Rattus norvegicus: one gene and its partner. The protein of the gene in region 1 purifies or fractionates together with the protein of each later gene. This does not show direct contact. Links are inferred from orthologs where the notes say so. Each region holds a gene or a part of one and is shown in the gene's direction. Other genes may lie near its edges.

Evidence for each region.
Region 2: the proteins of Tollip (region 1) and Cstf1 purify together in Homo sapiens (co-immunoprecipitation; 3 studies listed by BioGRID and IntAct, with this or other methods). This does not show direct contact. The link is inferred for Rattus norvegicus from reciprocal best matches to the Homo sapiens genes TOLLIP and CSTF1.

The regions. Positions count from the first base shown.
Region 1 is NC_086019.1:206,398,461-206,402,272, reverse strand, and holds part of Tollip (toll-interacting protein), read left to right. Parts: intron 1-165; coding exon 166-348; intron 349-1,403; coding exon 1,404-1,556; intron 1,557-2,709; coding exon 2,710-2,800; intron 2,801-3,812. UniProt on the Homo sapiens protein: Component of the signaling pathway of IL-1 and Toll-like receptors. Inhibits cell activation by microbial products. Recruits IRAK1 to the IL-1 receptor complex. Inhibits IRAK1 phosphorylation and kinase activity.
Region 2 is NC_086021.1:181,561,645-181,565,556, forward strand, and holds the start of Cstf1 (cleavage stimulation factor subunit 1), read left to right. Parts: upstream 1-1,310; 5' UTR 1,311-1,497; intron 1,498-1,534; exon of another isoform or gene 1,535-1,670; intron 1,671-3,413; exon of another isoform or gene 3,414-3,416; 5' UTR 3,417-3,445; coding exon 3,446-3,614; intron 3,615-3,912. UniProt on the Homo sapiens protein: One of the multiple factors required for polyadenylation and 3'-end cleavage of mammalian pre-mRNAs. May be responsible for the interaction of CSTF with other factors to form a stable complex on the pre-mRNA.

The DNA.
Region 1 (3,812 bases):
TGACCGGCAGCATGTTCAAGAGCAGGTTACTGACACAGTGAGGTGAACTTGAAGACTGTTTTTTCACACACTAGGAAATACCTGTAAGGAAAGCAGTTTACATAAGCACTGGCTTTTGTTTCTGCTGGTGGATGCCTCATTTTTCTAAATTTGGTGTTATTTCAGGCCAAATTGGCAAAGAATTATGGCATGACTCGTATGGACCCTTACTGCCGCCTGCGTCTGGGCTATGCTGTTTATGAAACTCCCACAGCACACAATGGCGCCAAGAACCCTCGATGGAACAAGGTTATTCAGTGCACAGTGCCCCCAGGTGTGGACTCGTTCTACCTTGAGATCTTCGATGAGGTGAGAGATGCTCCAATGTTACAGAGTTGCCAAGTTTGGGATCTGGCAGCCATGGGTGTGCTGCATGTGCCTTGTGGTTGTAGTCATGAGGCTGTTCTACTGGTGCTCAGGACCTTTGTACCTAGCATTTAGTGACTAGTGACAGGGTGTAACCTGCCTGGACACCTGGCATTTAGTGGCTGAATGACAAAGTACAGTTTCTTTGACAGTGTCCATTAGGAGCCATCACCAGTGATAGAAGCATGAGTAGAGTGTGAAGATAGATGTTCATGGATAAGTCGAATTACAAATAAGTCAGCACCCTCAGTGAGGGGAACACTGTTCTTGCAGGCCTCAGTTCCAGGCTCTGACACTAATGTCCCATGGCCATACCAGCAGTTAGGTGTGCAACTTTTTGAGGGCAGTCAGGAAACTCAGGTGGCTGAAGATGTCTTCTCGCAGCTTAGTTCTGGAGACCATGTGCTTGCCTCCTTGAAACAGAGCAAAGGGCAGTGGGAAGAGAATGGGGACGGTGAGAGCCAGAAAGGAAGTGGGCATGGGTAGTCCAGCGAGGGGGACGCAGCCACTCATTTGTCTTTACCCCCTTCCTCTGCTTTCTTCTTCAGCGTCTGTGAAGAGTAGGGATATGGGAAGGAGGGTTGGGCTATGGATGGGCTGGCAGCTCTTGTCCTTGTCTGTACCTACTGGGCTTGAGACTTACAGCTTCTATCTAGTTGATTAGTTAGGGCCACAAGGACTGCAGAGGACAGTGTCCATCCCTGAGCAAGGATGGCAGCCAAGAGATTTCTTTATTGTCCTTTGGCCTGACCTTATGGTGGTTACTCAGAAGATGCAGAAGTAGTGGTGGCCAGGTACAGGTCACCTGGATGTCTGGGATTGTGGTTTAATGGGAAGCTCCTTGGAGGAAGCTGGAGCAGTGAGAGGAACCCTGTCCTGCCAAGAACACAGAAGGTAGATGCAGGCGGCAGTCCAAGCACAGCCTTAGGAAAAGCTGGTCTCTATAACATGGGTCGTTGAGGGCCATAATGAGGTCATTTTACTCTTGTCTTCCTCAGCGAGCCTTCTCCATGGACGACCGCATAGCTTGGACCCACATCACTATCCCCGAGTCCCTGAAGCAGGGCCAAGTGGAGGACGAGTGGTATAGCCTGAGTGGGAGGCAGGGCGACGACAAGGAGGGCATGATTAACCTGGTCATGTCCTATACGGTGAGTTCACTGTCTGGCGAGGCCATTCTCAAAGAGGGTCTGGCACCTCCTTGAGATAGCTATGGCTCCCAGAACCTTGGGAAGTCATGGGAGGCAGGGCTGGGGGTCTGGTTTCCCACTGTCTCCTTTGTATTATCTGGGCCTTTCCTTTTAGTTGTTCTTGAGCCTTTGAGAACAGGGGAGTATAAAGCACCCGGTATGCAGGCCTCCTCCGCTTTACCATCCTACATGCCTCTCCTGGTGTGGAGTGTCACCCATCTTTAACAGGTGCTTTATGTAGCATAGGTCCATTGTATACTCGCTCATCTACAGTTCAAGATTATTTGAGCTGGGGCAGGAGAGGTGACTCAACAGGTTAAGAGCACTGCTGCTCTTGTGATTCCCAGTACCTTCATGGTGGCTGACAACCAACTGTAACTCCAATTCCAGGGGATCCAATACCCTAATCTAACCTTCACTGGCATCAGGCACACACATAATGCACACACATATAGGCACACAAAACACTAAGATATGTTAAATAAAACAAAGCAGTTCAGCATTTCCGAGAGAAGCTACTGATACTGATGCAGTCTCCAAAATGGACCCTGAAGGGAGCTTTGTAAGTCCTGTGTGAGAAGTGGTGTGGTTGTAGCTCGTGTGAGCCAGTGGTTGACATCATTTGTTTTCTTTGGTCTTCACCTTGACTCTTGTTCTCACTGAAACTGAAACTCATTCCATTCACTAGATTGGCTGGCTAATGAACTTGAGGGATCTTCTTGTCTCTGCCTCTCTCGTCCTAGGATTATAGATATGTGTCACACACACACACACACACACACACACACACACACACACACACACATAAACATAGCTTTATATATGGGTGCCGGGGATTGAACTCATGTCCTCATGCTTGTGCACCAAGCACTTTCCTAACTGAGCTGTAGTTCTGAGTCTGCAGCCCAAGTCTTCCAGCTGAAGGGAGGAGGTCTGCAGGAGTGGTGCAGATGAAACCAGTGGCCATGGACACTACATTCTTGCTGAGGATTCCATGTCTTGGGTGTTGCTGTCTGGGCTGTGGCTAGGACTAGCCCTATGATACCAGAAGTAACAAGATTGACATATGGTATGGTCCTCCTTGACACCCATGTTTTTCTTTGTTGTGTTTCAGTCCCTTCCAGCTGCCATGATGATGCCGCCTCAGCCTGTGGTTCTGATGCCAACTGTGTACCAGCAGGGTGTTGGCTATGTGCCCATTGCAGGTGTGTACTGCTTCTTTGGTAGGCATCCCAGGGACAAAGTAGGACAGGAGGAGGGAGGGGCCCAGCATTCCTATGAAGCTTGAGTAGTGTAGAATTGTGTAAGCATGGCTATTTTAAATGAAGACCTTCTAAAACCTACTCCAGTGTCATATTTGAATTATTTTTGTATACATAGGAAGTAGTGTTTGCTCTGTTTTTGCCACAAGTAAGGTGAGTTGAAATTTTTAGAGGTGTAGAAACGTTGTCTAGGAATATTTTCATGTATGAGTTGTAGGAATAAGAAAATCTGGTTCCTGTTAGACAAGGCATACTACATCTTAAATCATGGCTTTCGTTGAAAGTATTTACCCATGTAAATTAATACCTGCTTGAGTCGTAAAGTCAAGATGTGGCTTTTATATATTTTTTTAATTTTTAACCTTCCTGTGGATTTCACAGTACCTGGTGTCCAGTTGGCCTTCCTACCAGAGTAGGGCAAGCCAGATGAGATCACACACCTGCTTTCTTAGCCAACAGGAAAGACTGTGGCTCTGAGAGTAGACACCAGGGCAGGCCTTCAGGACCCCTGTTCTCTGCTAGGGTTCAGGAAACTGGAGTCCAAGCAAACCATGTAGTCCTGCTATCCCAAGGAATTCAAAGGCTAAGGCAGTAGGGATGGCCAGTCCATAGGGCAAGAGGGAATATGAGATCCTGGATGGGGCTTTGCCTATATGGTCCCTGCTTGCTGGTGCTCAGAGTGAGCATTGCTTTGGATCTAGGACAGCACAGAGCTGCTGTGGTTCATCTGTGTGGGGTCTGAGGGTTCCACACAGTCAGAATGGAGTGACTCATTAGTCTTTATTAAACTTAGCCCTTACGCCAGCTGAGCGAGGGAAGATAGTACAGGACTTGGGAATGAAATCCACCCACACATATCCTGAAAACAGCCCTGACAGACAGAACTTGGGCCTTCTGCCTATGACAAATCTCCCTGCAGGGACAAAGGGCAGCGTTTTCCAAAGGAAAGGGAGGG
Region 2 (3,912 bases), on another chromosome or scaffold:
GCCAGGATTTTGTTTGTTAGGTTTGGATTTTTTATTTATTTATTTGGTTTGGTTTTTTGTTGTTGTTTTTTAAGACAGAGTCTCCCTGTGTAGTCCTGTCTGTTCTGGAACTCACTATGTAGACCAGGCTGGCCTTGAACTCACTCCACCTGCCTCTGCCTCCTAGATACTGGGATTAAAAGAATGCGAGACCACACCTAACCTTAGGTTTATGGTTGAGACAGAATTTCCTGGATCCCAGGCTGGCCTTGAACATGCTAAACGGTGGAGATTACTTTGAACTCCTGCTCCTCTGCCTGCGGTACCTCAGTGCTGGGATTACAAATTCATCGCCATCCTCAATGTATGAAGTGCTGGGGAGGGGACCCAGGACGTGCTAGGACCTTACTAACTGAACTACACTCCCAGACAGGCTCCACTTTTGAGACACTGTAGCGGAGAGACTGGCCTCAGATTCAAGGCTATCCTTCTGCCTCAGACTGCTGAGGCACACTTGGGGTGTTTGTGTGTGGTAGGAGTTGGGGGGATATTGAGTCTGGGTCCTATGTAGTTTAGGCTGGGTTTTTGGACCTACTGTGTAGCTGAGGATGACCTTTGACTTCTGAGCCTGCCTCCACCATCTTACTGTTGGAATAAACAGCGGGAAGGGGGTCATGAAGGCAGTGCTGGGGTCAAGCTTTGGGCTTCTGGGATACTCTACAAATTGGGCTTTAACGGGTCTAAGGTGCGAACCAGACCCTCAAATAGTCCCGACGTAAACTGCTCAGAAGGCTGCGGTGAGAGCAGCACCAGTCCTGGGCACTCTACGAGGGAACTCCCGTTCATCTGCGGACTCGATTCGACCTAGACTCCGACTCTCCACCCGAAGCAGTCCTCACTAAGCCGCAGTTCCCGCGTCCACCATCAGTTTGCAAATTACTCGGTTAGCTGGCGGTCTGGGTCCCCATTCCCACAAAAGCCTAAACCCAAGCCAGGAAAAAAGCCGTCTGGGTCTTTCTTAAACGGAATGCAAACCCACTAAGACAGTCCATTACCCCGATGCCACTCAACCTTCCCCTTCGGTTTGCAGCAACCAAGCTCGTCCTCACCAACCGGGTCCCCTTCCTACTCACAGGCAAGAACCTGCTTCCGACCGAAGTCTCCAAGCGATCCCGGTAGCTCAGCCGTTACAATTCAAAGGTTCTCCTTTTAAAATAGGAGTTAAACCCTCTCCTCCGAGAGCTGATTGGCTATAGCCGGAGCGACGCCGTTCTGTGATTGGCTCACCCTGAACGCGACTACGGGAAGCTCGTTCCTTGCCGTAGCTGGGCGCAGGCGCACTGAGCTGTCGGAGCCCGGAAGTGGTGCACCAACGGCCTGTCCGATCTACGGCCGTTCTATCGCCCGCCGTGCTCTCCAAGGATCGGGCGTTTGCCGGTCACTCACAGTCCTTTGGATTCAAGGCTGTCGCGGAGGTGATCAGCTCGGAGAAGGTGAATGAGCGTCTCGAACGTGCCAGTGAGTAAGATGGCGAGAAGGGCAGGCTTGCGAGTGAGCGGGGACTTGCTCGGCGCTCGGCTGCATGCCCTTTGCACGTGCGCACTGAGTGTGCACTCAGAGCGATCGATCGGGCACGATTCGCGCCTCCATTTTTCTAGAAGAGAGCGGGAGACCGAGACCCTGATCAGCGGGTACGGGGTCGAGGGGTCGAAAGGGGACGGGATAGTGCGGTTGGCTAGGGTCTGTAGTGGATCACGTGAAGGACCGGGGCTAGCGGAGAGGATAGCGAGAGGCCGTTCGCCCCATGTCCGTGTCCTAGAGTTGCCCGGCCTGGCCTGCACCCCGGGTCTCAAAGGGCCTCGGTCCCGGTGGGTCCCTGCCTTGCGCCCTGAGCAGGAGTGGTCGCGCGGCTTCTCTCTGGGCCTCCTACATTCCCGGGTGTTAGCTTCCCGGGGTCAGGCTCCTCCTGTCTCGTGCCTCGGTGTCCAGTCCGCGAAGGATATAAATAGATCTATGCCCCATTGGAAGTTCAGTAGGGAGTTAAGTAAAGGCTCAACATCCTCCCCACCCCGTTTTCCTTAAATGTCGTGATAAAAGTTCTGGGCTCCGGAGTGTGCTGGCCCCTCCTCAACTTTTGGGGACTGACTTTAGCTTGAACGGGTGCCCTAGATTCTTCGAACTCATTTCACCCTATGTTGTATCCCAATGCCTTATGCAAGGGTAGATTTGTATACACTTATTTCTAATGTGCACGAATATATTGAATAGCTTCGTTTCGCGGTCGAATGCTAATTAGGTGCTTGACATCGTATCTGGCGGTAGGAACTGCCTGGTGTTATTGTTAAGGACTCTGGTCAGCACGATGCTGGGTGGCCTTGCTAGTCTTCTTATTTTAAATTGAACCTAGGGTATCTGTCAGCAAACACTTAACTCTTGGCTGTATCTCTAGGCTACCTTCTTGCTTGATGTCCCCAGACATCTATATTCAAGCATCTAACCACACATATACTTACCAAATTATCTACCCGGGTTGATTAAGAAACCATCATCTTCAGTTCTGTTTAATTTTCATGGACTGGTGAGCCTAGATCCTCCCAAATAAAACTTAAGAGCACAATGTTCAGATTTTTGCATTTCTTATTTGTTTTGATGGTAGTCATTTGTGTGTGTGTGTGTGTCTGTGTGTCTGTGTGTGTGATAGGGTCTCACTATGTAGTCCTGCCTGGCCTGTGACTACCTATGTAGACCAGGTTGGTCTCAAAATCACAGGGATCTCCTTGTCTCTTAGTCCCAAGTGCTGGGACTAAAGACGTGGGTGGGGCAGGCATTTGACACATTTAAGCAGTTTTACCTTAGGATCTTCCCAAAGCGTCGAACTTAGCTTATTTTTCATTTTGTGATCCTCCTTTGTTTTTTGGTTTGTTTTTTTTTTTGTTTGTTTTGTTTTTGTTTTTTCGGAGCTGGGGACCAAACCCAGGGCCTTGCGCTTGCTAGGCAAGTGCTCTACCACTGAGCCAAATCCCCAACCCCCTCCTTTGTTTTTTTATGATGTATTTGTGTGTTCGTGTACTGCCTCATCAAGTTGCATGATTATAATAATAAGCTCGGTTGCCTAGATTTACATTCCGGCTGGTGTGAAGTGGTCCAGGCATCCGACAAAACATAGCTATCAGCCTGTTGTGGGTGCCGCTGCTCACAGAAGAGTCAGGGGTAGCAGCAGAATAAAAGTTGCAGGTGGGTAGTTAGCAGCGAAGGACAAATGGTTGGGGATTCTAGCAGATCCATCAGTGACACTATTTGAAAAGTTTGATTAACCTCCAGTGACTTGGGTAACAGCTGAAGAACCTGAACTGAGAGAAGCAAGCAGACTGAGGTGTGTGCTTAGGCCTAGGAGGCGTGCCTCTGCCTTTCACCAGTGCTGGTTTTCCTTGCAGCAGTCAGGGGAACTGTCATCCTCTTGTGCAGAATGTACAGAACCAAAGTGGGCCTGAAGGACCGCCAGCAGCTCTACAAGCTGATCATCAGCCAGCTGCTCTATGACGGATACATTAGCATCGCCAATGGCCTCATCAACGAGATCAAGCCACAGTCGGTGTGTGCGCCCTCGGAGCAGCTCCTGCACCTCATCAAGCTAGGTAAAGCCTGGTGTGTTCACCCAGACCTCAGCACGAGGTTTGGCTTGCGCACTGGTCCAGGGCAGTTTCTGCAGTTACTCCTGTGTGCTGTCAGTGCCGGTGTGTGCGGAAGACAGTGGTGGGTACTGAAAGGGCGAGTGAAGACAGGGGATAAGCTGCTTCTCGGGCAGTCATACCCACATGCTGGGCACTCCCCTCGGGGCCCAGTTCAGGACTCTTGGCACACTGGCCCCTCGCCCCTCTAGTTATCCTGCCACCCCCGTGCTCCTTTGCTTGGTCACTCTGCCACAGCGCACCA